Pelodiscus sinensis: one gene and its partners. The protein of the gene in region 1 interacts with the protein of each later gene in a biochemical or structural test. Links are inferred from orthologs where the notes say so. Each region holds a gene or a part of one and is shown in the gene's direction. Other genes may lie near its edges. The genes, in order: JUN, MAPK10, ATF2 and RUNX1.

The links.
Region 2: of the proteins of JUN (region 1) and MAPK10, one has a biochemical effect on the other in vitro, tested with the Homo sapiens proteins (7 studies listed by BioGRID and IntAct, with this or other methods). The link is inferred for Pelodiscus sinensis from reciprocal best matches to the Homo sapiens genes JUN and MAPK10.
Region 3: the proteins of JUN (region 1) and ATF2 form a complex in vitro, tested with the Homo sapiens proteins (4 studies listed by BioGRID and IntAct, with this or other methods). The link is inferred for Pelodiscus sinensis from reciprocal best matches to the Homo sapiens genes JUN and ATF2.
Region 4: the proteins of JUN (region 1) and RUNX1 form a complex in vitro, tested with the Homo sapiens proteins (2 studies listed by BioGRID). The link is inferred for Pelodiscus sinensis from reciprocal best matches to the Homo sapiens genes JUN and RUNX1.

The regions. Positions count from the first base shown.
Region 1 is NC_134719.1:14,319,139-14,327,208, reverse strand, and holds JUN (transcription factor Jun), read left to right. Parts: upstream 1-4,665; 5' UTR 4,666-5,573; coding exon 5,574-6,518; 3' UTR 6,519-7,663; downstream 7,664-8,070. UniProt on the Homo sapiens protein: Transcription factor that recognizes and binds to the AP-1 consensus motif 5'-TGA[GC]TCA-3'.
Region 2 is NC_134715.1:13,816,524-13,824,446, reverse strand, and holds the start of MAPK10 (mitogen-activated protein kinase 10), read left to right. Parts: upstream 1-4,570; 5' UTR 4,571-4,709; intron 4,710-7,923. UniProt on the Homo sapiens protein: Serine/threonine-protein kinase involved in various processes such as neuronal proliferation, differentiation, migration and programmed cell death.
Region 3 is NC_134717.1:44,025,421-44,033,406, reverse strand, and holds the start of ATF2 (cyclic AMP-dependent transcription factor ATF-2), read left to right. Parts: upstream 1-4,754; 5' UTR 4,755-4,879; intron 4,880-4,886; exon of another isoform or gene 4,887-5,149; intron 5,150-7,986. UniProt on the Homo sapiens protein: Transcriptional activator which regulates the transcription of various genes, including those involved in anti-apoptosis, cell growth, and DNA damage response.
Region 4 is NC_134711.1:184,931,162-184,938,495, reverse strand, and holds the start of RUNX1 (runt-related transcription factor 1), read left to right. Parts: upstream 1-4,011; 5' UTR 4,012-4,026; coding exon 4,027-4,085; intron 4,086-7,334.

The DNA.
Region 1 (8,070 bases):
TTTTAATTTATCCCTCAAAAGGCCATTTAATTATTGAGATAATCTGTTTGCTTCTTGCAGCCCTGTATTGATGGATTACAGAACTCTTGAAATGAAAATCTGTATTATCGTTAGTCAAGGCATCTACCTGCCGCATCAATGGAAATAAACAGTTAATTTCCAGTTCCTTCTCACAAATGGCTCAGTAAGCCCCGGTTTACACTAGGGAATTATTTCAAAATAACTCCCCTTATTTCAAAATAAGGGGCTGGTTATTTTGAAATAACAACTCCTGCTTTCCTCGGGGAATAAGCTTATTTCAAAATAGTTATTTTGGGGGATATTTCAAATTTAGTTATTTCAAAATAATTTCCTATTGTAAACATGCCCTAAGTGTTTTTTCATCTCACTACACTAGTTATTTCATGAGATCAGGAAGGGGCTAAAGAGTGCTAAAGTAATAGCTGATTCAGGAATCTAGTCATCTACCATTCCAAGCTCTCATGGCCATGGAGACTCAAAATCTCTGCACCAATAGGGCAGATTCACCTTTTCTGAAAGTATGTCTACATTGTAAGAGTGAATGTGTCTCCATGTCCAGGTAAATAGCTATGTACATGTTCTGCTCATGCTAGTGCACAAAAATAAGTATGGATTGCGTGACACAGGCAAAGGGTTGGACTAGCCACTGAGTATGGACTCTCAAGGATGGACTTTTTTATGGGCGGCTAACCTGTGTTGCTATCTGTGCCACACCCTTCACATTGCTATGTTTAGCACACTAGCTTGAGCAGAGCTAGTATGTGTCTGTCTATGGGTACGTCTACACAGCAACATTATTTTGAAATAACTAGCGTTTACTCAGCAGGCAGTTATTTCGAAATAATATCGAAATATTGTCAAGCTGGAGGACTTTTTACTCTGACTCCTGTGACACTCATCGTACAAGGAGTAAAGGAAGTCGGAGGAAGTGCTCTATTTCGAAATAAGTGCTGTGTAGATGTTCCAAATTTCAAAATAAGCTATGTAATTGACGTAGGTCAATTTGCGTAACTTATTTTGAGTTAAGCCCTGTTGTGTATATGCACCCTAACAGAACAGCGAGGTACAATCCCAGCTGGAGTGCACACAGACTCTTCAGTTTCATACTACTGAATGAATCTCAGTTTGTCTGCTGGGTGCTAAACCAAGATTCTCAATCTTACACTGAGCAGACAGCCATCATTCATTTCAGATGAATGATATTTAGGCTTGGTTGAAAAAGCAGGAAGAAACAGACAGCCAAGAAACAAAGTCACATTTTCTTTGGTTTCAAAGCTGTCCATGTATACTCAGCATTTATGACCAGCTTGACTGTCTGTTGCTCAATTTCCCAAATACCCTCTAAGTGAGTATCAGTTAACATAATTAATGTTTGATGACTATCTGCCCTAGCAATAGGCCATGGCAGCAACTTGTTCCCAGTGAAACTGGAATGACCTACTTTGACCCCGTCCATTTCTGAAACTCCACCTTTGTGACAGGAAGGAAGTCAAAGCCTGCCTGCAGCAAAGTGGGTGAAAAAACATGAAAAAAAATTCTACACAACAGTATACTAGCAACCCACTCCAATACTCACTGAATCAATGGAAAACTTGTGTTGACAACAGGGCTGTTGGAACAGACCCGAATGGAGCAATAATCTGTTTTTCAGTTCATACACATAAAGTTGACTAAAAAGAGGCCTGAATGGTACATTGACTTCCTTTTTTTTTTTTTTTGGCATTACATCTTAACTTGGGTGTGTAATGTTAATTTGTTAATACCCAAGTAGTTATATACATAAATATAGTGTTTCTGGACAAATTCAAGATTACTGCAATCTTATTTAACACTGTTAAGATTTAGAGCTTATCTACGTGAGGAAAATTGACTGGAATATCTGTTTTGCAATAAATCCCCATCCAAATCCTCTAATTCCAGAATAGACACACCTTTAACGTGCCTTTAGCCCAAACCCTTAGCTATATCTAGGTACCTAATTTCTATAAATTTCAAAGGGACTTAGGCACTTAAAAACCTTTGACAATCTCGGCCTTTCTCTGGTTTAATTTAACAATGGGTTAAGCAAATGCAAACAAGGTGTTCTTATTCTGAAATAAGTGTCCACAAAGGGAATTATTTCAGAATAACTAGTGTTTTAAGCTCACACTCTTCCTTTTACCAGAATAATATCCACTGTAAAAAAAAAACCTTTAAAAATTTGATAATTGTACTTTGACACAAAAGATTACAATAGCATCAGAGCTGGTAGTGAGTAAAATTAAACATTTCCCATTGTTAAACAGACAAATGAAAACTTTGAAATGTATCTTTATGAAATATAAGTTTATTTGTAACATCTTGAGTGTAATTTTGATGAAGCAGGGAGCCGTTAACATTAAATTAAACAATTAGGCTGTGTCTATATTGGCAAAATCTTGCTGCCTGTCTACACTGGCTGGGAGTATCAGCGCAAGAACACTAATGTAATGTACAAAATCAGGGCTCCCGTTCCCGCTCAGGGATAAGTCCTCTTGCACAAGTGTACTTGCGCAAGAGGCCAGTGTAGACGGGCAACATCAATTTCTTGCGCAAGAAAGCCCGATGGCTAAAATGGCCATCAGAGCTTTCTTGCGCAAGAGAGCATCTACACTGGCACGGATGCTTCTGTGCAAAAGCAAATCTTTTGTGCAAAAGCACATGCCAGTATAGATGCTCTCTAGTGCAAATACTTTTAACGGCAAAACTTTTCCGTTAAAAGTATTTGCGCAAAATCATGCCAGTGTAGATGCAGCCTGAGTGTGTCTAGCATCGAACAGGCTGATAACAGATTTCGAGACAAATGTATATGCAATGACACTTCTGATTTGTTAAGCTATTTAACAGTTGGAATTCTGGCTGCATGCTAGCACACATTTTAACTTTTCTGGAACACAGGAATATCTTGGTTACATGTACTATGGCAAGACATAGAGAATAATAGGCAATATATTCAGGTGTGAGTTTAGAATTTCACACTAGGAACTATTACTCCAGATGCTACAAAGTGTACACTTGTTCTCTGTACACCAATTACTTTCCAAAACCGGCAGTACTAGCTCTTTTGCAAGTTAATATACTACTCAAATTCAAGTGGAGGACACTAGAAAAAAAATGTCAAATGGAAAGAAGAAACTGGGAGATCATTTAGAAAACTAATGGACTATGATGTTTACTTCTGCTTTGGGTTTGTATTTCTTTTTAATCCCATTTGAAAATTTAACCAATTGTTATGTCTGGAACAAGAACAAAAAAATCCTAGAATGTTTCCCTTTTTCAAGTACTTGTTTAATCCATGAAATAACAGTCCGTTTTGCATTTAAGACGTGATTTAACAGGATGGCCACATTCTCTTCTGGAGTACACTGGCAAAGTTCCATAGAAGTGCGTCGATTTACACCACCAGATAATTTGATCTACGTAACTTTTATAATTGCTTTACTTGTTAGGAGCGTTGGCCACGTGTTTCTGCTCGGCAGAATATGATATAATAGTCTTCCAGCTTCTTGCCCCGTACCCGTGCGCCGGGTGGTGTTAAGCAGCTGCTCCCTCCCACCTCAGCGGTGGTGACATCTCAGCGCTGCCTTATTTGCAAAGAGCTTTATAGATATTCACAAACGCTGCCTCCCCACAAACTAGTGAGACTGGTCGGGAGGAGGCAGCCCTGTCTGGGTAGCAATGTGCAGCACCTGCCAAGAGCGGCAGAGCATTGGCGGGGGTGGGGTCGCTCCGTGGGAGGGCGAGGACACTTTTTTCCCGCGTTTCCCGGAGCGCTGCCGCATCCCAAGAGGCGCAGCACTTTGCAGAGGGTAAGGTCGCAGGGTGGGGAGAAGCCCTGGCACGTCGCCAGCAGCACGCCCCCGCCAGCGAGGCAGGCGCGGCTCCCGCTTGCCAAAGGAGCCACGTGGGCTCCGCCCCGTCCACGCTCCGCAGGTGCCAGGCGGGAGCTGCCAAGGTTTGAATGCGGGAGGCGGGAGCCCGGAGAGCTCGGGCCCGTAGCAGGACCCCGATCGCGTATCTCAGCCGCTGCTTCCCGAGCAGGCGCCTCCCCTCCCCAAGCGACAGCGGCTGCCCCCGTCGGAGCCAAGCGGCGCTCCCCCGGCGCTGGGCAGCGCTGCCGGCCGGCCCCAGCAGGGAGGGGAAGAATCACGTGCGGCTCAGGGTCATCCCTAAGCTGTCCCCAGCCTACGGCTGCGCCCAGACGTCAGTGCCACCTTAAGGACCGTACCACCCCACGGGGGGGGAGGGGGAGTCAGAATGCAGCCTAAAGCGAGCCCCGACGCGAGGCCCTCGATGCACCCAGCCCCCTGCTGGCAGACTGAACCGTGAAGACTCAAGCAGTAGGATTGATTAAAAACTCACTAGCCACCCCGTGTCCAGGGAGCAGGTCGGTCTGTGTGCCTTTCCCACCCCCCCTCCGTCCACAACTTGGTGCTTGCTGCCTATTAAGGAGGCTCCCCCTTCCCAACCCCGCGCGTCCAAGCGCTCTTCAGCGGGTAACCAGAGATTCAAAAACAATACGTCAGCCCACAATGCCCCGCGGTGAGCACAAGCATTACCTCATCCCACAGTGCCCTGCGAGGGAGCTGAGAAGCTTCTAGGGGTGGGGTGACCATGGAGACCGGCTCCTTTGCAACAGGCCGGGCCAGCGGCCCGCCACCCCCCTGAGGTGCCGCCGCAGCCAATGGGAAGGCCGCGGGGTGACATCATGGGCTATTTTTGGTGGGTTACTGCTCGCTGATAAGTGTTGGGCTGCAGGCCGGGAAAGGGCTCAGAGTGTGCGGCAGGCACCAGGGCAGCAGCAGCAGCACTAGCAGCGGCGGCGGCGCCCAGCGCGAGAGGCGGGCACGGCAGCGCGCGCGGTTAAGTGCCTCGGGTTGCGGCGGGGACCCGGCCAGCGCAGCCGCGGGAAACGTGGTCGCCGCGGCGGGCGGAGCTGGAAGCCGAGACAGCGGCCGCCCGTGGAAAAGTCCTTGGGACAGCTCGGGGGTGCGGCGCGGCGAGCCGCGGCTGGGACAGCCCGCCCCAGGGGCTGCAAGCGCCGGGCGCCCCAGGCACCCTCGCAGCGGGAGAAGAGGGCAGCCGAGAGCCTGGGTTTCTGAGCCTCCCACCCCGCGCGATCCGGAGGGGAACCTGCCTGTCGGACACTTACTCCGGAGTGAAACTAGAGCGAGGCTGGATTTCTGCTCCGTTCCTCGCCGCGCAGCGCCGTCCCAGACACCACAAGAACTTGACACCAGCGCGGCTGCGACTCCGCGCTCAGGCTGACTCGCTTGTTGTGGTTTGAAAAAAGTTGAGTCCTGACCCGCGGAAGAAACGGGGAAAGACCCGCCAGCCGCTGCCCTGGGGGATAAAAAGAAAAAGTAAGACTCGAGCCGATCGTTACTTTTCCAAAGCTTTTTCGTTGTTGAGTTACACCGTTGCCGTTTTGTATTGAAAAAGGTGAACTTGCTTTGAACGGGACTTGGCAAGCAAACGAGTTTCTCCCTGCTTAATTGTAACTGCTTCAAAGACAGTTTGGTGGACTGTGTTCTATGACTGCAAAGATGGAACCTACATTCTACGATGATGCCCTAAATGCTACCTTTGTACAGCCAGAAAGTGGTGGTTATGGATATAATAACCCTAAAGTCCTGAAGCAGAATATGACACTAAATCTGGCTGATCCTGCCAGCAACCTGAAGCCCCACCTCAGGAACAAGAATGCTGATATTCTTACCTCCCCAGATGTTGGTCTCCTGAAGCTGGCATCTCCTGAACTGGAAAGGCTAATCATCCAGTCCAGCAATGGCTTGATCACCACTACTCCCACCCCAACACAGTTTCTGTGTCCCAAAAATGTTACTGATGAGCAAGAAGGGTTTGCTGAAGGTTTTGTGAGAGCTCTGGCAGAGCTACACAATCAGAATACGATGCCCAGTGTTACAACTGCTGCCCAACCAGTTAGCAGTGGTATGACACCTGTTTCATCTATGGCTGGCAACAATGGTTTCAACACCAGTTTGCACAGCGAACCTCCAGTGTATGCTAATCTCAGCAACTTTAACCCTAGCGCACTCAGCACAGCACCTAACTACAATGCAAACAACATGGGCTACCCACCTCAGCATCACATTAATCCACAGATGCCAGTGCAGCATCCCAGGCTCCAAGCTCTGAAAGAAGAACCTCAAACTGTACCTGAAATGCCAGGAGAGACTCCTCCACTGTCCCCCATTGATATGGAGTCACAGGAGAGGATCAAGGCTGAGAGGAAGCGCATGAGAAACAGAATTGCAGCCTCCAAATGCCGGAAAAGGAAGTTGGAAAGGATTGCCAGATTGGAAGAAAAAGTGAAAACTTTGAAAGCCCAGAACTCAGAACTGGCATCCACTGCCAACATGCTCAGAGAACAGGTTGCACAGCTTAAGCAGAAGGTCATGAACCATGTCAACAGTGGGTGCCAACTAATGCTAACACAACAGTTGCAAACATTTTGAAGATACTGACTTGGGGTGAAAAATCTATGATGTTGCAGTAGAGCAACAGAAAAAACAAACCCATAACAAGTGGCAGATTCATAAAGCTAATGGTAAAGGCTTGAGAGGCATTGAGTCCTGCTTGCACCCCACAAAGTACATGTGTGGAAAGACTGGCGAGCCTTCAACAGAGCTAGTAGCAAAACAGCACCACTCTGAGAAGTGCTGTTCCTGCTCAGATGATACATCAGATCTTTGTTTAATATTGACCAAGACCTGCATGGACCTAACATTCGATGATCATTCAGTATTAAAGGTTAAACTGCAATAGAGACTGTAGGTTGCTTTCTGTAATACTCTTAAAGAAAACACAAATGGGAGGGAGGTTTGTGGGAGGCTGATAAAAACAAATATACTGCCTGCCTTCAAGTAAATTGTGTATGTACATTTTTTTTATTTTATGAAAGCTGATTAATGTCAATAAACAACTTCATGACTTTGTAAATTATTTTTATGTTTGTGTTCTGTCCAGTAATGTTTGTAAATGAGGGTTTTTGAGCACTCTGAATTTACCATTTGTAATAAAGTATATAATTTTTTATGTTTCTGAAAAAAGTCCAGAAAGGTTCTATTATATTTAAGAAAATATAAAAGCATTAATAATGCATTTCCTTCCCCTCTTCCCTCCCTCCCCCTCCTTTTTTACCAGTACCTAAATCAGGACTCGTATCACACATGCTGAACTCTCAGTGGTAGAGAATGTTTAACTTATACTGTAACAAGAAGACACGTTCTGGAGAATGTGTTCAAGTGAAAAGATAAACCATACCCTGTAACATGAACAGCAAATAATGTATGTATTTTAAGTGTTTTATGGATTTAGTTCAGATTGGCTTGCCTGTCATAATCCCATATCACAATATAGACAATAGCTTTAAAAATTAAGCAGTTTGGGGGGGTTTGCTATTTGCATCAACTTGCCCTGTCCTATACTAGTCTGAACTGTAACTATTTCATATTACTTATTAAAATAATATCCCCAACACCATATTTTAGGTAGGAAATTTAACAAAAAGGTATCCTTCAGTACTGTCTAATTATTCAGAAATAAGAGGTGGTCTTTGTTCATGAATACTTGCTGTCACAATAAAATTCTGTAATCCCTTTCCCTATGTTGAAATCTTTACCCTTTTAGACATTTGAATATTAAAATGTATTTACCAATATGTAAACTGGGGAGTTTTAATATAATGGAGAACATATGTAACTATAAATTGAAAGAATGTAAATAAAAAAGGAAGACATTCAGGAAGGACAAAAAAAGGAAATTGACAATTTACCTGTCATTTTCAGTTTGCATTTAAATAATGGAAGTATGAGACCACTTTTGAGGACAGAATGAAAACAAGCAGCAGTTTAGACAAGTCAACTCATCTGAAATAAGCCCATGTTTTTGGTAAAATAATTCAGGATTTTCAATTTACTGGCTCTGGATCCAATTAAATTGTCTGTCTGGTTTATATAAATGTATTTAGAATGATTTTTAGAACTGCAAGACGAAACATATGTTATA
Region 2 (7,923 bases), on another chromosome or scaffold:
GGAAATACTATTCTGCTCCCGTTCGGGCAAAAGTCCTTTTGCGCAAAAGCTTTTGCGCAAAAGGGCCATTGTAGACAGCTCAGATTTGTTTTGCACAAAAAAGCCCCAATTGCGAAAATGGCGATCGGGGCTTTTTTGCGCAAAAGCGCGTCTAGATTGGCACGGACGCTTTTCTGCAAAAGCTTTTTTCTGCTTTTCCGTTAAAAGCATTTGCGGAAAATCATGCCAGTCTAGACGTAGCCCTGGTGTTTAAAAACAAAGGCTGCTTTTCCTAATGGTTCCATGACAGATCAGCATAGTCTAGTTCTCAGTGGAAAAATTAAAACTTGCATCAACCAGGGAACAAACAGAAACATAAGACTTGAATTCCAGTTAGCTACATCTTACTCCTACTTTGCATGGGCAATAGGTGAAGCTGCTGCTAGGAGAGGCAAACTTCCCACACTGTGGCCCTGCCCATATTCCACCCCTGCTTTGACCTGGACCTGGCCCTGCCCCCTCCCCACTGTCTCCCTCTTCTCTTCCCCTCCCCTTCCAGACTAATCCATGGGTGTGTCTAGACTACAGGGTTTTGTCGATAAAATTTGTCTTTAGACACACTCTGCTTGGGTGCGCTCTTTTGAAAAAGTGGCTTGCTTTTTTCAAAGTACTGATTGCAGTCTAGAGGCTCTTTTTCGAAAGAGGCTTTTAAGAAAGCCACATACAGACATGGGCATGTCTACACACTCGAGGCACCACCTGGTCCTGGGCACAGCGCTGCCAGGTGCAAGGGTGTGTGTGGCACTTATAGACTCATAGACTTTAAGGTCAGAAGGGACCATTATGGTCATCTAGTCTGACCCCCTGCACAGTGCAGGCCACAGAATCTCACCCACCCCTCCTAGAATAATCCTCTCACCTATATCTCAGATATTGAAGCCTTCAAATACTTTGAAGACCCCAAGATGCAGAGAATCCTCCAGCTGTGATCTGTACCCCATGCTACAGAGGAAGGCGAAAAACCTCCAGGGCCTCTGCCAATCTACCCTGGAGGAAAATTCCTTCCCGACCCCAAATATGGCGATCAGCTAAACCCTGAGCATGTGGGCAAGACTCACCAGCCAAACACCCAGAAAGTTCTCTATAGTAACTCCTATCTTCCCACCATTGACCTATTTCCCACTGATAATGAATGGTCAATTAGTTACCAAGATCATGTTATCTCATCAAACCATCCCCTTCATAAACACATCTAGTTTAATCTTGAAACCAGATAGATCTTTTGCCCCCACTACTTCCCTTGGAAGGCCGTTCCAGAACTTCACTCCTTTAATGGTTAGAAACCTTCGTCTAATCTCAAGCCTAAACTTCCTACTAGCCAGCTTATATCCATTTGTTCTTGTGTCCACATTGGTATTAAGCTTAAATAATTGTTCTCCCTCCCTGGTATTTATCCCTCTAATATATTTAAAGAATGCAATCATGTCCTCCCTCAGCCTTCTTTTGGTTAAGGTAAACAAGCCAAGCTCCTTGAGTCTCCTTTCATAAGACAGGTTTTCCATTCCTCGGATCATCCTAGTGGCCCTTCTTTGTACCTGTTCCAGTTTGAATTCATCCTTCTTAAACATGGGAGACCAGAACTGCACACAGTATTCCAAATGGGGTCTCACCAATGCCTTGAATAATGGCAGTAACACTTCCTTATCCCTACTGGAAATACCTCGCCTAATACATCCCAAGACCGCACTGATGGAAGCCCAGGCACCTTGAGGCACCCCTCCTGGCCATTGGATCCCAGTATGGCTGGCCATTTCCCTTGCCTGCTTGTCTGTAGGATGTGGTGGGTGGAAGCATTGTCCCCTGGGGAGCACGAGTAAGACAGGGCCCGCTGTCCAGGCCATACATGGCCTTTCTCTTGGGACATTACCTTCCTCTGACCCGGGAACTGTTGCTCTCAGCTCACAGAGGAGGGCAAAGCTTCAGGGACAGTGTCCCCAGAGATGACTGACCGCCTCCCTTTATTCTCCCGAGGCAGATCAGCCATGAGAGTGGGGCAATTTACACCACCCGAGCCAGCTGCCCAACTCTGGGAGAGCTGCAGGTGGCGGAGGGTCCAGGAGGACCTGATGAGGGAGCACATCTGCATTCTGAGAGACATGCAGCAGACGCTGGCCCAGAAGGTCCAGGATGATGTGCAGTGGCCAAGGGCATCCCATGAGCCTAGGCGAACTACGCAGTTCCCTAGAGAGCACTGGCCTGGGCGCCCCGTGATGATGTGATGGCCATTAACGGTCGTGCAGGCGGGGTTGCAGAGGGGGCGCCAATTGCACCGCCTACCTGGGGCTCCAGCTGCTGCAGCCGGGCTTGGGCCGCTCCTGGCAGTGTCGGACACAGATGTGGAATAAGCTGCTGCAGCAGGGATGCAACATATGTGCGACCGTCCAGGATCTCCTGATGCACCTGGAGCCAGCTCCTGCTCTTGCTCTAGCTCTAGTCCTGGTCTCTGCTCCTGCTCTAGTCCCGGTTCCTGACCCCGCTCCCCCTCCCATTCCTGACCCCGCTCTAGCCCCCTCCTGCCTATCCCCCTGACCTCCCTGGAATCTCCCACCCCCAAGGTCGCCAAGGTCTCTGCACATGAGGCTGAGGGAGCACTCAAGCCACACATCTCTCTCAGCCCCAGCTCTGAACCTCTCCTCCCCACTTCAAGTTTCTCAGCCCCTTTCCTCCTCCCTCCAAGCTTCTTAGCCTTCTCCCTCCTCCCCATTTCTAGGTTCTCAGTCCCCCTCCTCCCCAGTTACTTCTACCTCAAATAAATCACCACAAAGTTCTGTTTTTAACAACCAAGCAAGTTTTTTTTAAATTGTGTGTAATGTAGAAAGCTCCTACTTGAGAGATTGTGCTACTTCCTGAGCACAGCACTGAGCATGCCCAGACACACTGAGCATATTCCTATAAGGTAGGAGCTTTCGACATTACACAGGGCTCTAGTTGGAAGGCCCTGGGAAGAGTGTAACTGGAGAAACCCTCCCCTAGGCTTCCTAGATGCACACCTTTGCTTGATAGGCCTGTGTGTCTGCTCAAGGCCTTTCCGTCCCGGCTGCTCTCTGCCCCCCGTTTCATCCTTATCTCCCTGCTTAGAACCTATGTAAAGGGGTACTTTTCCATCAGGAGCAGCCATCCAAACAGATTACTACAGACGCCTCGCTGATGGGTTGGGGTGCACACTTCCAACAACAAATTGCACAAGGGAAGTAGTCCAAAGACGAGACCGTATTCCACATAAACCTGCTCGAGCTTCGACCAGTTCAGAACGTGTGCAAACACTTCCTCCCACACATCCAGGACTCTTTGGTGCATATCCCCACTTACAATATGACTGCTATGTTCTACATCAATCGCCCTGGGGGTGCAAGATCCCAGGCATTATGTGCAAAGGCAATCAAGCTATGGAATTAGTGTATCCACAAATGAGTCACAATCGCATTTGCATATTTGCTGCGGAACCGTTTTTGCGCAAAAACAAGCAGTGTGGACATATTCTTTTTGCACAAAACCCCTTTTTTCCACAAGAGCGGTACACCTCCTTTTTTGGGGCATAAGGATCTTGTGGAAAGGGGGTTTTGCGCAAAAAGAAAATGTCCACACTGCTTGTTTTTGCGCAAAAACCCCAGCGCAAAAATGGACCGGCAGCAAATATGCAAATGAGAGTCTGACTCATGCAAATGAGTCTCTCATTAGCATATTTTTTTGCCAAGAAAACTCGTAGTGTAGACATAGCCTTAGCATGTCTGGTCAAATCATGCAATGCAGTCAAAGAATTGAAGAAGAGATGTTCCTTTTTTCCAGTTCTGAAGAATGGCAGATTTCTGCCATGGACGGAAAGTCAGCTTGCTGAATTAAACTAGAAATTACTAGTGGCTGCATTCACCTAATTTAACACTGTTTTTTTCAGTGACAGTCTCCCTTTTTGGCCTTGTTCACTTTATAAATATTGTATATGCAGAAAATATCAATCTGTTTCTAAGGAGAAAATAGCATCTGGGGCTGCTTCTAAAGGAAATATGTATTTCCAGCATATAGTGTGCAGTAGGAGCCTGTTCTGAAGGCCACTGAACTAATTTAGCCAATTAACTGGGGTCAGGTCTAATGAACTTAGATTTTCTATCAATTTGCTACTTTTGAACTGTTAACAGCATACAAAAATCTGCAGTTGCTTTATTCCAATGGAACAATAAATCTTCAGAGCATATAATGTAACACTCTTACAATGGAAATGAATACATATGTCACACTATTTATAATTTAAAGTAAGAGACTAACCAGTAGGAGTTAAATAATGTGGAACACACATTTTGTAATTGTATGTGCAGAGTTCTCATCTTAATGGAAAAATAAGCTGTTGGAAGCATTTCACTTTACAGTCCTTCATATCCTGTCACTGCAGAGTGAATTCCACTGAGCACTATTACAGAATTTTAAGAGCCATGTGATGAGATGACCATGCTCAGACAAGAAAGGGGAAAATTCTCTGCAAAGAAAGCCAGGCAGATTACCTACCCTACCTCACAGAATCTGCTGTGCTTGCCAATTAAGGAGAGAGCTTCCAGCTGGGTTCATAAAGACACATGCTGAAGTGGGAAAAGGAAGCACCTCTTTGTACTTGTTCAGGGAGCTGTTTTTTTGTTTATCAGCTGTGAGCTGAGCTGAGACTTTGAGGTCCTGAACAAGGGGTAAGAGGACTAAAATAAGATTTCTGGCAAAATCTTCATTTTATTTCTCTTTTACTATTGTCTGCTGATGAAGACTGGAAGGGTTTGGGCTGGAGACTTAGGAGCCAGGAAAGCTGGTCTATGATTCAAGTAGTCCTAAGGAAAGAATGAAATGGATGTTTGAGGCTGAAGCTGAGGGGCCATAGCCATGCTGTTAGTGGAAGGTACAGGCTTCCCTATGTGTTAGCAGTGTCTCCAGGAAGGGTATATACACATGAGCAGCCCTGAAGCCATGGGCAAATGATTGTTTGTTTGCAAAGATCCAGTACTGAAGGGAAAGACATTTGTGTCTTCTGTTTAAATGGCTGCACATCCTGGAAGGGAAGGACTAAGCCAACCTACTAGCAGAAAGAGACTATAGATTAGTGAGAGAAACTGAGGTATTGGTGTACCTGTTAATGGAGAGGTAAGGTGACTCTGTATACCTAGCAAAGGATAATAGCAAAAATACTCCTACAGAGAGAGTCCAAGTAAAACAGAGAAGAAAACTTGAGAATTGCAGAGAGAAGTGACCCACACTATTGGTGGGCTTAGAGAGGCAGGTGAAAGAATATCTCTGATTGTCCATAATGGAGATGAGAGCCAAAGTGGGGGAGCGGAAAGGGTGGACAATAAAGCCTGAATACAGGAAATAGAAACCCTATTTAAAATTTTTTTTTACTTAATTGGATTATTGGAAGTGCAGTGAAGCTGGGGGTGCTGAGGATGATATGAAGCCACTTTTTGGAGTGAGTAGTTTTCTCACATCTTTTATCCATATTCTCATTCGGGATGGTGAATTCACCAGGTTCTCTCCATTCTGACACAGTGTAGTGCCTTTAAACCTCACTGTCAGCAGTGGGGATATTTACAAGGCACTGCTTTTACATTTGTATTCAGGATCTGCGTGTGCCCTGAACTGTCCCGCTCCCCGCTGGCTGATTCTCCCCTCCCCCCCTTCTGTCCTTTCCCCGCCCTGTCCCTGCAAGCCGATTCTCTCCCGATCTCTCCTGGCAAGCCTTGCTACCCCTGGAAGCCCTGCTTCCGCCAGCTGGTTCCTCCGGCCTCCCTGCAATCTCCCGCAGCCAGCCTCACTGCCCCTGCCAGCCGGTTCTCTCCCCCCCGCCCCCCACAATTTCCCTTAGCAAGCCCCACGGCTCCCACCCTCCCCCCCCCCCCGGCCAGCCCTGCTTCTGCCAGCTGGTTCCCCTCCCTATATCCCCCGGGCAGCTCCACTGCCCCGACCCTGCTTCCCTGCGGCCCATATCCAACTCCTCCTCCCTCTACAGCCAGCAATAAGAGCTCACCTGGTAACCCTCACTATGCCTCTGCCGGGAGCCTGAAACATATGGCTGCATCCGCCCAGCCCGGCTGAGGGTTTAGGGAACCCAGCGCTGAATGGGCAGTCTGGGAGCCTGGAACACCCTGGGAGCCACGCTGAGGCCCACTATTTTTTTCCCGCGGCCCATATTGGGCCGCAGCGAGTCCATAGTTTGAGAAATGCTGATTTAGATAATGGCATAACTAATATTCTTATAGGCTGTGTCTAGACTGGCCAGTTTTTCTGGAAAATCAGCCGCTTTTCCGGAAAGACTTGCCAGCTGTCTACACTGGCCGCTTGAATTTCCGCAAAAGCAAAAAGAAAAAAAATTCTTCCTACTGTAAGAAATCAGTGCTTCTTGTGGAAATACTATTCTGCTCCCGTTCAGGAAAAAGTCCCTTTTGTGCAAAAGGGCCAGTGTAGACAGCTCAGATTTGTTTTCCACAAAAAAGCCCCGATCGCGAAAATGGCCATCGGGGCTATTTTGTGGAAACGCGCGTCTAGATTGGCACAGACGCTTTTCCGCAAAAAGTGCTTTTGTGGAAGGGCGTCCGTGCCAATCTAGATACTCTGTTCCAAAAATGCTTTTAACAGAAAACTTTTCCGTTAAAAGCATTTCCAGAAAATCATGCCAATCTAGATGCAGCCATAAAGTTTGCAGATGATACCAAACTGGGAGGAGTTGCAAGTGTTTTGGAGGATAAGATTATAATTTAGAATGATCTTGAGAAATGGTCTGAGCTAAGTAGGATGACATTCAATGAGGACAAATGAAAAGTACTCCTCTTAGGGAGAACAATCAGTTTCACACATGCAAAATGGGAAATTACTGTCTAGGAAGGAGTACTGCAGAAAAGGATCTAGGGGTCATAAAGACTGTAAGCTAAATATGAGTAAACAGTGTGACACTGTTGCAAAAAAAGCAAACATCATTCTTGATTGTATTAACAAGAATGTTGTAAACAAGATATGAGAAGTAATTCTTCCACTGTACTCTTCACTGATTAGGCTTCAAATGAAATAGTTTTCTAGTTCTGGACACTACATTTTAGGACAGATGTGGGCAAATTGAAGGAAGTCCAGAGAAGAGCTTCAAATATGATTAAAGGTCTAGAGAACATGACATTGAAGGAAGATTGAAATAATTGGTTTTGTTTAATCTGGAAAAGAGGAGACTGAGAGGGGACATAACAGCTTCCAATTACCTGAAAGGTTGGTGAAAGGAGAGGGAGAAAATTATTCTCCTTAGCCTCTGATGACAGGACAAGGAGCAATGGTCTCAAATTGCAGCAAGGGAGGTTTAGGTTGGACATTAGGAAAATCTTTTTGTCAGGGTGGATAAGCACGGGAATGAATTTCCCTTGGGAGTTGTGGAATCTCTGCCATTGGATCTTTTTTAAGAGCAGGTTAGACAAACACCTGTCAGGTATGGTCTATATCAGTGGTCTTAACCTTACTGCAGCCTACACCCCTTTGGTTCTCAAAATATGTTCTTGCACCCCTTATTAAAAATCATTGAAGTAGGTCAGTTCTTTAAACCTAAGAGATATCATAAAAATCTGGCATGTCTTGCACCCCCAGAAAGGGCATCTCGCACCCCCAGGGGTGCGTGCACCCCAGGTTAAGAACCACTGGTCTAGATGGTGCTTGGTCCTGCTGTGAATGCAGGGAACTGGACTTGACCTCCTAAGGTCCTTCTCAGTTCTTCTATTCTATTCTATGTTTAGATTGGACATTAGGAAAAACTTCCTAGCTGTTAGGGTAGTTAAGGACTAGAACAAATTACCTTATCAGGTTGTAGAATGAGATTAGACATTCCCTATCTAGCTAGTACTTCATCCTTCCTTGTGCCAGGGACTGTACTAGTTGCGCTAC
Region 3 (7,986 bases), on another chromosome or scaffold:
TTTTTAGTCTATGAAGTGCTACCAGACTATTTGTTGTTTTTTTCTGTACAAACTTAACTCAGCTACCCCCTGAAGCTTAAGAATCCCAGTCATGTCTTAAGACCTCATTGTGTGAAGCACTTTACACACTGAAAAAAAACAGTCCTGGGTCTGCTGTTATTTAAAGGGTTCTTTTGGTGGACCCATACATAACATTACCAAACATGCTTGCAGACACTTCTCATGCATCTCCTGTTCTTTTTTCTGTGATAATGATTATACAACTAATTGGAGAGACAAGATGGGGGAAGTGAGATCTTTTATTGTGCCAACCTCTGCTGTTGAAAGACAAGCTTTTGCACTTTATTCAGAGCTCTTCTTCATGTCTGGGGAAAGTATTCACAGTATCACAGCTAAATACAAGATGGACAGATTGTTTAGCATCACAAATGTTGTAATGCACCCATGCAAGGTGAAGTTGGAGGATTAACACTTATGTAGTCAGAGGACAAAGAAGGAGGATTGGGTGAATTATAGATTGAATGTATGGCTCATGTAAAACACTGTCTTTACTGAGTCCATGATTTTTAGTCTAACAAAGTTGTGAGTTTAAGCTCCCATGTTTGTGTTTTGAAGATGATGCACAGATTTCCTTTGAGGATGAGGACTGAGAGGTCAGATAATTCACTAATTGACAAACTGGAAAAAAATCATTTTATTCTTTATTCTCAGAGGAATTTTAGCTGCTACATTTGTATCTACGAAAGTTAAATGTTTCAGATGGAAATACGATTTGAGTCGACATTGTCTGACCCATTATGGAATACTTACTGTCACTTAATGATCAACAAGCCTCAGATACGTCAATTAAATGTGAAATATAGATTCAATTTTTACGTGTAATTGAGCTATTGCTTTAGGTATAATTAAAATAAAAATTTACATAACTAAAGGAAACAGTTAAAATTTATAGCAATACTTTTTTGCTGCATTGTTTAAGGACATAAACATTCTAGTTCAAAAAGACAAACTTGTAAAGAAAGATCCTTTTGTTTTCCCCATTACATTTTAGGCATAAGGTTGCCGGATGGTTTCAACAAAAATTGTGACATTAAATCACAATCTACATTACATCTTATTTAGAAAATACTGGACATTTATATTTTCTCAATTTGTTTCCCGAACAGAAAGCTCAAATACTGGACTCTCCAGTTCAAAACCGGATACCAGCCAGCCCTATTTAGGCATTGTAGTCTTGAGGAAATTTCATTGCCCTGTTAACTGTGAGACTCACTAATATTAATTGGATTCAGGTGACCATGTGGACTACACTTTGTTCTGCTGATAACACTAACATTTTGTTATATATATAATTTGCAGTCCAAGTATTTGTAAAACTTATGACTGCATTTTGAAGAGCTAAAAATATATCTACCACTTCAGTGTAGCAATAAGCAATGTTTAAATTACATAACATTTTCCTGCTTCGTTTATAAAACTTTCCTTGCTGTCTTGGATCAGCCACAAAGATGCTTTTAGTACTGTAGTTGCTGGAATTTTCTAATTAAAATTCAAAATGTTTTAGCTAACATTTTGTATTTTATTTAAAAGGACATTGTCAACTTAAAAATCACCGCAGTCTAATTTTGAACATCACAAGTTGTTAGAGCTCGGTCATACAGAACAATGACAATTGAGTGTTACACGTGGGCAGTTGCACTCAGTGTACATCAATACTGATGATGATGCTGGTGTAACCCTGAAATGTAGCGATTTCTGGGTACATTCCCTGTGGTTCATTTTCATAGAATACAAGGTATTTAGCAACTTTGTCTGACCCCTATGGAGATTGTTGACAGAAGTGACCTAGTCCCTCAAAATTGCCAGGAACCAAACTGGCCAATAAGTGAAAAAACTTGGAGCAATGCTGAGAGTGATCACATACATTTAAGGCTGTGTCTAGACTGGCATGATTTTGCGGAAATACTTTTAACGGAAGAGTTTTTCCATAAAAAGTATTACCACAAAAAAGCGTCTAGATTGGCACGGATGTTTTTGCGCAAAAGCATCCGTGCCCAGTATAGACGCACTTTTGCGCAAGAAAGCTCTGATGGCCATTTTAGCCATCGGGTTTTCTTGCACAAAAAATTAAGGTGCCTGTCTACACTGGCCCTCTTGCGCAAGTATTCTTGCGCAAGAGGGCTTATCCTTGAGCGGGAGTGTCAAAGTATTTGTGCAAGAAGCACTGAATTCTTACATTAGAACGTCAGTGCTCTTGTGCAAATTCAAGCTGCCAGTGTAGATATCTGGCAAGTTTTTGTGCAAAAGCACTCGCTTTTGCACAAAATCTTGCCAGTCTAGACGCACCCATAATGACTAACGATTATATTTAAAAGCATGGAAAATACAAATTCAATAATTATAAAGTTTTTCTAGTTATAATTCAGAAAATACTCCTTGTGTGTCAGTAGGTAAGAATGATATGAGGATAAGGCCTGCACATGAAAATTTCTAAATTCTTCCTTGTCAGAATTTTCATAAGGCATAATGAAATTATTATATAGTTTGGTATTCCAGATCCCTACCAGTTTTGAAGTGTAATTTTTGTACATAATTGTCATATGTTTATACATTTGTTTTATTTAGTCATTCAGTGGTCATTTTGCTTCTTGAGCATGCCTTAGCTAATTTTTACAACTATACCATGTTGTAAATAAAGGCTCTGAACATTGTTTTTTTGGTTTAACAAATGACTGCAACTTTTATTAGTTTACTCCAAACCCCTGCAATAAGAATATTTATATATCCAAAACCATGCCCTTCTACCTATTAGTAAAAGTTGAGCAACGCAACTCTTGCTTTCCTGCCACAATGGACTCAGAACCAAATTGTATCCAAGATACTCTTCCAGATAACATTGGGAATTGGTCCAAATTAAAATGTGATTTGTCCGGCAGTACGCCTACCTCGCTTCTCAGTGTTAAAGCATCTGCTCATTCAAATGCTCACACTGTAACATGACTTCACTTCTACCTCTGTGCATTAAGTTAGGATAACCTCTGGGCATGATTACACACTATAATTTCAATAGACAACCTGCCAAGTAATCCTGAATTACTTCAATCTGCTATTATGAGATAGTATCTAACTTTGGATCACTTATCCATGCTGAATAAGCTTAACCAGAAGACTTATCCTGTTCCTTTTTAATGGATCACTCTTTTCTAAATAAGAGGATAAGGGATCTTTCAGAAAAGGCTTTATTTTCCGAAAGATCCGCGTCTAGACTGGCGCTTTTTTCTGGCAAAGCTCCGTGCTGAAAAAAGCGGCAGCCATTTTTATGCTAATGAAGCAGGGGAGATTTAAATCCCCGCTTCATTAGCAATTGCAATACGTCTAATTTGCATCCCTTTTACGAAAAAGGGATGCAATCTAGACGTAGCCTTACTGTACAGATTTTTCCAGTGGCACACATCTGTGGCAGTCTTCGGTCTCTGATCCACCTTTGTCTCTCCTCTTCTGTCTGTTCTTACCTCCTGTCCCCACAGAACAAATTATCTCTTGGCGCTAATGGCTATGAAAGAAAAGTGGTATAGTTGGAACAAGGGTGTTGGCTTGGTATACTTTCTGGCTACGTCTACACTGGCATGATTTTCCGGAAATGCTTTTAACAGAAAAGTTTTCCGTTAAAAGCATTTTCGCAAAAGCGCATCTAGATTGGCAGGAAGCTTTTCTGTAAAAGCACTTTTTGCGGAAAAGCATCCGTGGCCAATCTAGACGCGCTTTTCCGCAAAAAGCCCCAATCGCCATTTTTGCGATCGGGGCTTTTTTGCGGAAACGAAATCTCTGCTGTCTACACTGGCCCTTTTACGCAAAAGTGTTTCAGAAAAAGACTTTTGCCCAAACGGGAGCAGCATAGTATTTCCGCAAAAGCACTGACAATCTTACATGAGATCGTCAGTGCTTTTGCGGAAATTCAAGTGGCCAGGGTAGACAGATGGCAAGTTTTTCCACAAAAGCAGATGATTTTGCGGAAAAACTTGCCAGTCTAGACACAGCCTCTACAGTCAAGAGTTTTGAGAACCACTTAACAAACCCTGTTTATGATGGAAACCACTTCTAGCACTCCCAGCATCTATTATTTGGAAAGTATAAGATCCCCATTGCTTCCTGCTCTGAGCCTTTCAAGCCCAATGAGCAATCACAAATTATTTTACATTTATATAAAGCTCCTACTATAATCTTTATCCCACAGGGTCTCAAAGAACAACCGTTGTTTGCAGTGTTGCTGCCCTTGTGTTAGGCCCAGGATAGTAGAGAGTTAACGTGAGTGGGGTAACACTAATTAACATAATTCATTTGTATTATCATAGCCCCGATGAGCCTCAGTCAGGGACCCACCCGGACCCCACTGTGCTGCCAGGGCTGTACACAGAACAAAATGACGGCCCCTGCCCCCAAAGACAATGCACTTTGAATTACCACAAAACGGTCACGAGGTCGATTTTAAATCTCCTCTGTCATGCCCCTCCTCCCCCGCATTATCTTCCGTTCTAACCCGGACGCGGGAGCAGCCCTGGGCCAGTCGTTAGAGACGCGGCGCTAACGTTGCCCTTCCAGCCGCTCGACTTTGAGAAGACCAGCTTAGCAAAACGCCACCTACAGGCGTCCATCCCCGCCCCCACAATTGAGCGCTTCCGGCCAACCAGACACTAGAGGGCCCCACCCTGCAAACCAATCAGGGGCCTTCTCTATGCTACCGCCAGCTGCAACTCCCGTGGATCACGTGACCCCTTTCCCTCGGCCTGGGGAGGGGGGGATGCCAGTGAGTTATCGCGAGAAGGGACGGAAGCCTATGGGGGACCCGGCCTTTAATGTGCGGTTCGGCCCCTCTCCCCGGGTGAGTTTGTAAACAGAGCGCGGCGAAGGGCAGCGCCTCTGGCGCGTTGTAACGGGGTGTTGTGGGTAGCGGCGCCTCGGCCCTAGCGGGCGAGGGAAGGGGGCGGCGTGGGCCGGGCCGGGCTGGGCTGGGCTAAGTGGGGGTGCCCGGGAGGTATTAACATGGCGCCGCCGCTCTCCACGGAGACCCCCGCCTGTGGCCCCCGCCACCCTTAGAGCCGCGGGGTTCGGGCCGGAGCCAGCGCGCAGGAGACTGTTACCCGCCCCCGAGGTAGGCTGGTCCCTGCGGCTGCCCCAAGGAGGGGGCTGGGGAGCAGGGCGAGGCTTCTTCCCCGGAAGCGGGCTGCCCTGATAGATACAGCCGGCTCCCACCCGTCCCCGGGGGCGCTGGGGGCGCTCTCCCCTGCAAGGGTAAAGTGGGCCTGCCCCTTCCCCTGCTGCGACGGGACCGAGCCAAAGGAGAAGCGGGAAGGTTCCTCTCTTCGCCTGTGACTGCCTGAGAGTAGAGAGGGGCGGGTGGAGGGAGAGGAGACCCAGGTGCCCTCAGCAAGTGCTAAAAGGGGAGGGCAGAGCCAGAGAGGGGGCTGTCGCTCTGTTGCCCGTAAGTGCCGATGCGATTGTGTGGCCTGTACCTACTTCCAGCCTGGCCTGGGTTGTAGTGCTCTGCTGGGGCACATCACCATTGTGACTGTGTTGAGTGGGAGCTCGACACTGTGCTGCCAATTGTAGGTATTTTCTTTAGGGTCCTCTCAATAACCTTTCACTTATTGTGGCCCATTTTGGAGGACTCTTTATGAGAGGCAGAGCTGATGCCCAGACATTCAAAGCATGATAGTTATATTGAAGGTTGTGAACATCTTCCCTGAGGGGCCCATCTCTTGCCTCAGGATTGTTCACTATTGTAGGTACTAGGAACTTAATGTGTTGTCATGTCCACTCCCACCACCTAGTAAATTTATTTTACAATTTGCAATCTTTTGGTTTCCCTCACACAAAATAATACTGTCTTTGCAAATGAAATGAGTTGGGATACTCTTGTATCTCATGTAATTTGGATGCCTTTTCTCTCTCCCCCCCCCCCCCCAAAAAAGTAAATTCTATGCTTATCTTTTTCTCCAAATAATTGAATTCTGAGCTTTTTGTTTTCTATCTTCCATCCTTTCCCTGCCTTTAGTAAAATCTTTATTCCCTTTATATCCTAGTCAATGAATCTTGGATTTAGTTTGGGACAACAGCAGAAGCAATTTCTGAGTGCAAGAGTTTAGGCAGATTAAAATAGCCATTTTTGTGTCTACTGAGAATATCCACATTTAGTTTAGATAAGGTAAAAAGGTATAAGATTCAAATTATGCTCGATGGCTGTGGTTTTCAGCCTGTGGTCCATGGACTCCTGCGGGGGCGTGGGGAACTGCAAACCATGTCTAAAATTTCCAAAGAGCTCTGTGCTTCCATTTGAAATATTTTAGGAGGGGAAAACAGCTATTGCTTTAGAGTATAAGACAACCAGTAGCAGCTGGGGGGGAACCCTGTGGACAGGTGTTTCCATAATTGTGAAATGCAAGACTTTTTTTAAACCTTTCTCTGAAGTATCTGGTAGTGGCTGCTATTAGAGGCCCAATAGTGCAGACACTTATGCATAAATTTAACTTTACTTCATTACTGGTAGTAGCTCAATTATTTAAAGCAAGTGTTTGCGGAACTAGAACCAGAGAAGAAGTTACTGGATTAGGTAGAATAATGCTCTAATCTCTTAGTTATAAAATCTACTAAAGCGCCATGAAAATAACACTTAGCATATTTCAAAGGGCCTTTTTGCAATGAGTGAACTTGAACAAAAAAAATCTAAAACATTATTGGGGCTTATTGTTACATTAAAGGTTACTGTCAGAAATTTACATTAATAAAAATGCATTTTGTGCAGGAGGGTAGGAAACCTATTTATCATTTTATATTTGGGTAGTTAAAGTTGTACATTAATATTTTGATCTTCATTGCACACACAATGTCTTTACTCAGACTTAGAGGTTGGTAAGTTTAATTTTGTTGATATCTGTAGTCTTCACTAGGCATTTTATAACTATACAGATTCTGCCATGTATCCTCCTTTTTACTCAGAAATTTTTATCTTATTTGATTATATTAAATCTTTATGGGTTCACTGCTGCTCCCACACAGTTTGTTCTTGGATAGGATATGCCCAGATAATACTGTATTCCATTAACTTTTGACATTTGGCCATGTTTCTGATGTGCCTGTTATGTCAAGATTTAATTCCATTTTTAGCCATTGTAGTTCATCTTTTTTTTGTCTGTGGATATTTGTGATCACAAATAAAAGCCATGTGCCAATCTTTATCTATTTCATGATATGTATTGCTTTTCTGAAATTTAATCTGAACTCGTCCTAGTATGCTTCCATTTTCAAAAAATGTTTATCAAATTCCCATTTGTAAAGAACCCATTGAAGACTTTCATTGTGACAAGCATAATATGATGATACTTCCTGAAGTCAAGTTGTGTGCATTAGCTAGCTTATTTAACTGCATCATCTTATTACAGTGACCCTGTAGTCTCTTCAACCATTCCGTGTTGCTTGATACTTTCTCTTGCTATGTCTTGTCTTAAATTACACTGTAAGCCCTTGTAGGCAGGTACTGCTTTCTTGCATCTTGGTACACATAGGTCCATGTTCCTCCTTGGAGCTATGGGATGTTACTGGTGTGTGTGTGTGTGTGTGTGTGTGTACACCAAATATAGAGTTTCATGGTATCGGACACTGTTAACTTACACTTCTATTAGGGATATTAAAGACTAGTCAACTAGCTGACTATCCGATAAGCAAATGCTTATCAGATAGTCAATTGACTAGTCAATGTCCGCCCTCCTCTCCCCTTCCCCCCCCCCCCCCCCCACTTTTGGCTGCTTCTATTATATAGAGGCAGCCAAAGGAGGTGGGGGGAAGAAGAGGTACTTCAATGTGGCTGCGCAGCACTGCTGCTTTGAAACCCCAAGGTGCGTTTCAAAGGGGCATCTGCCAAGGAGTGTCACTCCTCAGCTGATCCCAGGTTCTGGGAATATGCCATGTGGAACCTGGCCAAGCGGAGCCCAG
Region 4 (7,334 bases), on another chromosome or scaffold:
TCTGTATTAGCCCCTTGCCCCAGCATCCCAAGGCCTTCTTCTTCCTGAAAATCCATTTACCCCGGAACAACCTTTCACCCTGGTGTCAACAGCCCCAGCAGCTCCCCTTGCTCCACTACCCCCACCTTGCCAGGGTCCCCAAGCTGACCCAAGCTGAGTACCTCCACTCAGAGCCAGTAAGTTCTGTGCAGCTTCATTTCCTAGTAGGGATGTAAGCGACTAGTTGAGTAGTCGACTAACAGATAAGCCTAGGCTTCTTGGTTAGTTGAGTTGATGATTCAAGTACTCACATCCTTCCCTTCCCCCCGCCCCCCTCTTCCAGGCACCACCACCTTCCACTGCCTCTGTATCACAGGCAGCAAAGGGGTGGGAAGCAGGAGCCAGTGCTGGCAGGAGCTAGCTTAAAAAGCGAGGGATGGGGAAATTGCCATGTACAGAAGATTGTCCATGGCAGCCTGGGCTGGCCGCAGGCAGAAGATTCTCCGGCAATAGCTTCTGTCCGCAGAGGGTCCAGCTCTGTGCTGGGGTCCCCCATGGACAGGGGCTGCTGGACCCAGAATGAGTCGTGACTGAGCAAGCCTAGCTCTTACTAGATTTAAACTGCAGAGTCTCATTGGGTATGTCTACACTACAGCACTAATTCGAAATAACTTAATTCGAATTAGTTAATTCAAACTAAGCTAATTTGAACTAGTGCACCTAGACCTAAAAACTAGTTCGAATTAGCGTTTTGCTAATTCGAACTAGCATGTCCACATTGAGTGGACCCTGAACCGGGGTTAAGGATGGCCGGAAGCAGCGCTGGCAGGGCATCAGATTAGGACTTAGAGCGTGGAGCTGCTGTCTCAGGCTAGCCGAGGGCTGTGCTTAAAGGGACCCGACCCCCACCCTGGACAGACAGTTCTCAGGGTTCCTCTCTCACTTGTCTAACTTGATGAGGGACAGCAAAGCAGTCCTGGCTTGGAGTGCCCTGAGTGCCCACACTCGGCACATCACAGCACTGGGCCATCAGACCAGCTGCACTTGCCGCAGGCTGCCATCCGGGGAGGGGGGTCAATCAGGGGCCTGCAGAAGAGCTTCCACCCTGAGGAGCCCGCAGAGCCACCCCAGTCCTCCCCATCAGGGGCTCGTACCCCATTCCTCCCTCACCTCCTGCCACTTACCCCTCCCTAGCCCCCCTTCCTGATATACAAAATAAAGAACACGTGTGTTCAAAAATAGAAACTCTCTTTACTTTAACAAAACTCGGGGAGACTGGGAAAAGGAGGTGGGAGAGGGGAAGAGAGAGGGTGGGAGAGGGGAGGGCAACTAAAATGATCAGGGGTTTGGAACAGGTCCCATATGAAGAGAGGCTAAAGAGACTGGGACTTCTCAGCTTAGAAAGTAGGAAACTAAGGGGGGATATGATAGAGGATATAAACTGAGGGGGGATATAAAAGCACGAGTGGTGTGGAAAGGGTGCATAAAGAAAAGTTCTTCATTAGTTCCCATAATAGAAGGACTAGAGGACACCAAATGAAATGAATGGGTAGCAGGCTTCAAACTAATAACTGAAAGTTCTTCTTCACAAAGCAAATAGTCAATCTGTGGAACTCCTTGCTGCAGGAGGCTGTGAAGGCTAGAACTGTAACAGAGTTTAAAGAGAAGTGAGATAAAGTCATGGAGGTTGTGTCCATGGAGTGCTATTAGCCAGGGGGTAGAAATGGTGTCCCTGGCCTCTGTTTGTGGAAGGCTGGAGATGGATGGCACGAGACAAATGGCTTGGTCATTGTCTTCGGTCCATCCCCTCCGGGGTAGCTGGTGTTGGCCGCTGTCAGCAGACAAGCTACTGGGCTAGATGGACCTTTGGTGCTCAGAGTCGGGGGTCTCACTGGACCACCTTGATTTTCATGCAAGCCTGCTCCTGGGTGGCCAGGCTCGAGCCGTGCCAGGTACAGGGTCTGCTGGCTGGGTGCTGGAAGGCTTGCACCTGGCACGGGCACCGTAGCCAGTCCATGCCCCTTTAAGGGCTCTGGGGCCGGGAGGGGGGCAGAAGAGTTTCCCTGGTGGTGCCCAGAGTGGCCACCAGGGAAAGCTGGGGCGGGCTAGCCTCCCACTAGTTCGAATTAAGTGGCTACACAGCCCTTAATTAGAACTACTTAATTCAAACTAGGCGTTAGTCCCCATGGAATGAGGTTTACCTAGTGCGAATTAAGCGCTCCGCTAGTTCGAATTAAGTTCGAACTAGCGGTTTGTATGTGTAGCGCCTATTAATGTTAATTCGTTCTAACGTCTGTTAGTTCGAATTAACTTTGTAGTGTAGACATACCCATTGGGAGTAGCTCCCGGACCCAACACAAACAGGGACAGAGCGCCTTCCCTTATTGACTAATCATGTAGTCAATAACAATTCTATCGTCTACACGATTATTAAAATACCCACGTCTTAACATTCCTATTTGCTACTCCTGTTGCTTTTTGGGGTAACGAGTGTTGACTATACATTTAAGATTATGGTTGTATGTACAGTATTTGCAAATACAGAAAAAGCTCAGAGTTACAAGCACCAGACCATTTAACCACAGACTTCATCTAGAACCAGAAGGATGCAATCATGCAGCAGCAGAAAGGGGGAAAAAACAGAGTAATGTAAACTACTAAAAAAAGGGGAGGAGTTTAAAAATTGATAGGGAAAGGAAACTGTCTGAGTGCTTGTTTCATTTAAATTAAACAAGCACAGAAACAGTTAAAAGCAGCATTGGTTAAAGCAGCAGATGGTGAAAAGCAGCATTCTTCTTCTGCATAGTAAAGTTTCAGAGAGGTATTATATTCAACTGTAAACTTTTGAAAGAACCAGCATAACGTTTTGTTCAGCATTACAACCAGCCTCCATTCCCGAGGTGTTTGTAACTCTGAGGTTCTGCTGTATGTAAAGTGGATCATTAGATTGTTTGTACAAAATGTCCTCCATGGTGTGGCACAAAAGTAGCTAGCTGTGCATCTCTCTCAGTGAAGAGGGTTGGAAACTCCCTCAATGAGTAATTCTGGAAGCAATTCTGTTGTGTCACCTTTTCATCCAATGCAGAATATTTGTGGTGTTAGCTATTCACTATATTTTTGGTGCACGATTATGAAAGTGAGGGAGAGAAAAAGGAATGAAAACACAAAATTTGTCATTGAACTCTTCATCTGGCCTTACAAGATGAATTTAAGGAATTTGACACCCTGGGAGACTCATGGAAAAAATCAGTATTTTTAATGTTTATGTTTTATTATTATTTATTTTATGTATTTGTTTAATTTTTACAGAGAGACATTAACTGTCTTTCCTTATCTAATTCATTTTGCTTGCCCATGCACAGCTATGAAAAGCTTATAATAGAAATATTTTTGTATGTATGTAGTGGAAAATGCCAATTTAAACAGGATGTTTGAGATCAGAAGGACTGACCCAGAATCTGTGCTGGGACAGACATGAAAGCATAAAAATTTCATTCACAAAGGTTTTCTGGGGCCACTTTTTTTTTAAAGCCTAAACAGAGTCACGCACATGCTGGCTCGGAAGCTCCCACAGTGTTTCCAGAGCCGAGCTGATTGCTTTCAAAGTTATGCAGAGCTACATCCTCAATGGACAGCAGCCATGAACAGGACTGGGAACAATTACCAGCTGACGGAGAAGTTCGTCGGCAGTGGGTACACTTTTGCCAGCTACTACCCTTGGATGGCCCAGGGAGAAAGAGGCAGAGTCAATTCCACGCCTACTTGTTTCCTTTCCCGTCTTTCGCCACAGTTTCAACTGATTTTGATTACTCTGGCGCCAAATAAATGAAAGCATCTCATAGACATATAATCATCCATCACTGTGAAGAAAGGAAAAATGCTTATGTACGGCATGTTTATAAATACACTTATATGAAGAAAGGATAGCTCTGTCGTTTTTAATCTCGTGCTGCTGGGTAGCTAGCTGAATGTCATCAGGGCAAGCTGCCTGTTTTATTTTTTCTTTAGTCCTGACATGGTCTTAGGGGCACACTAGTGGAGCTTGTGATGATAGGAATTGAGAGATCTGTCCCCTCCACAGTTCTAAAGGTTAGTGCTGATTGGAGGTAAGTGATCGGAGGCTTTTGAAAGCAGGAGTCAAGTGTGTTCCATGCATATATATTGTAACAGGACCACATCAAAGGGAAAAGGGACTCTTAACAGATTTAGTCTGAATAATGTTGTACAGCCCAGGGTAATAAAATGATTCCATCGGGGAGTTGAGTCAATACCAAGAGAAGAGGAGCAATAGAAGTGACAGCTAGTATGCCCTTTGCATGTGTGTGTGTGTGTGTGTGTGAGATATGTAGGCATTACTTCATACGTTATGTGCTAATATTCCTTGTAAAAGCATGCAAATCTTTTTGACTATTTGGCTACAATAGAAAAGCTGTTTATAGAACATGACATTATTGCTACTTTTGGTTTGCACTGCACGGAAGAATGTCTTTTTTAACAAGCGCAGCATTTTTAAGGCAACTCTTGAGATATTATTTCCTGAAAAAAGAAAAGAAAATACTCTTTTCCATGTTGTGTGCTGAAAATAGAAGAAAATAGCATGAAAATATTATCAGACCATGTAAATTTAGCTTTTTGACCCTCATTCATTGTATGTCATATCAACAGATCTGCTGATATGCTGCTATTTGCATTTGACTTGGACACACAAACACTAGCAAAATGTTTGCCCTTTGTAAACTATTGTCTGTGCTTGGCTTCATAGAAATCATTAATGCAAAACTTCTCTTCATCTGAATCTCCAAAAAACATTGAGTGGGAGAGAAAAGCTTTCAGTAAAATGGCTGAAATGCTGTGGCAAAAATGTGATAGTACGATTGTTTTGTGTCCAAATGTAGGTATAATCAAATTGCACCACATTGTGTTGCATGGGAAGGGCAGAAAACAGAAAGAAAGGCTAATTTGATTATACAGACTACTTCTGAATTGCTAACCCTTGGCAGTAACTTCCTAAAAAGAGGGAGAGTAGTAGGCAAAGTCCTTAGCCCTTTTGACCCCACATGTAGGTCATCTCTTTATTATGGCACAGAGAATATTGTTAATACTTAAATTATTTTTTATATAAGCATTACATAACTAATGCAGCATGGCCAATGGTCATAACCTTTTTGTGAGTCTTGGTGTTTTTCAGAAAGCCCCAAATCCTGAAGACAAATGATGATATGAGAATCTCAGTCTTTTATTTAAAATTAGCTCCAAAAGGAAGTTTCTAGCACCTATGACTGCAGAAAAAAATTGAAAACATGTTCCAGTGTAATCTTAAAGCTCAAAATCCTGAACATAAGCTAAATTAATCAATCAAATTAAAAGAACTTCAAATTTATTTTAAAGATGCTCTCATGCATTTTGGGGGCCTGACTCATGATCTCTGAATGGAACAGGGTTTGCAACACTATCAACAGAACAATAGTCAGAGCTGGATGTTGACTGCAGTCTAGAGCTATGTCTTCCAAAATGGAGGATGACCTTTGCTTCCTACAACTTCACCTACATTCTTACACAACTATAACTCCTTCTCCCACTGGTGGCAGCTAACAGACTTCACTGGCTATGAGGGGGGGCAGAGTAAATTGCATGCTTTAAATGGTATTATTAAATTAGTTTTCCAACATCACTACTGCCACTGCTACCACCATCTCTGTAAATGAGAGGGATAATTGGTCTTTGATGCAGGATGCTTCCTAGCTCACTCCATACCACCCCTTGCATCCAGCTAAGCATGCTTAACAGCCATAATTTAACTCTACAAGGCTATTTTCTTCCTTATTCCTACAAATGAAAGAAGGGGAAATGGAATGTATCCTAGATATAATTGCTATTTGCATATGTGCCCTAAAGAGTTAAAACAAAGCTTCTCCAATCTGGTGTGAGTGCAACAGCATAGTTACATAAACCACACCTGCATTCCCACACTGGACATATGGATCTGGTGAGCAAAGTAAAATATTACCTTAACAGACATTTTCATAATGAGTCTGATCTGCATCTAATTTAAACCAGACAATTATTTAAAAAAAAGTAAATGGGGATTGTCTTTTACTTGCAGGATTAGACCAAAGTGAGTGTTATTCACATATTCCTCAACTTAGACAATTTCATGGCTATTTTCCAGTCTCTCATACTGAGTCATAACTATCTAGCCACTCCTCTTGGCTTACTAGCTACTGTACTGACTGAGCCAGTATCTCAGTGGCAATTCTTACATGATTGCCTCAGGCCAGTCTTCCAGGATATATACTGTTTTATCCCTGAGTACCTTTTAGTAGAGGTCAGAAGGCTGTCGGCCCTTTCATAGATTTACTCGAGTGACGTTACAGCAACACAATTTAAGACTCAAGTGGTCTAATTAAAAACAAGAAAAAAAGAAAAATAAGCTTAAAACAGACAAAAAAGTCCTTCTCACATATCTAGTCCTTTACTCGGCAAGACTGAAGCTATGAAAAACAGACATGAAGTGGACTTGTGGTTAAGACAATAAATCGTGTCTCAGGGTTTAGGGGTTTGGTTCCAGACTCCTGTGAGACTTTAGGCAAATCACTTAACCTTTCTGCCTCCGTTTCCCATTTGTAAAATTGAAATAATTTCTTGTCTGTCTTGTCTATTTAGATTGTGGCTCTTTAAGAGGGGGATTCTTGCATACCGTGTGTTTGTACAGTGCTTAGCACAATAGGGCTGTGGTCTGGGATAGCACCCCTATACTCTACGATAATACAAATAATAAATGAGCAGTAGTGGATCTTGGTTTAATTGTAGAAGTACAAAACTGTCACTTTACCAGAGGGCTCCCTGCCTTTCTCCTGTGACCTCTTCAGTACTCCAGTTTGTCTGAGGCTATGACTACACAGCAGTGTTATTTCAAGATAACTGACATTATTCCTAAATAACAACGTCCATGTCTACTGTACAAGCAGTTATTTTGACATAATGTCAAAAGAATGTCAAACTGGAGGACTTCTTACTCCGACTTCTGTAACCTGCATTTTACAAGGAGTCAGGGAAGTTGGAGGAAGAGTGCTCTACCTCGGACTTCCTGCTGTGTAGACAGCGCCAAAAGCCAAAATAAGCTATTTCGACTTGAGCTATGCAATTGTCGTAGCGCAAGTTGTGTAGCTTATTTTGGCTTTAGTCCTGCTGTGTAGACATCCTCTGAGACACATTCTTCTTGGTTTTCCCCGTCTTTACCTCTTCCAGTCCAATTATGCCTTTCAGGTGTAATTCCTTTCTCTCCCTTATATCCATGGGCTGCGTCTAGACTGTCATGATTTTGCGGAAATACTTTTAATGGAAAAGTTTTTCCA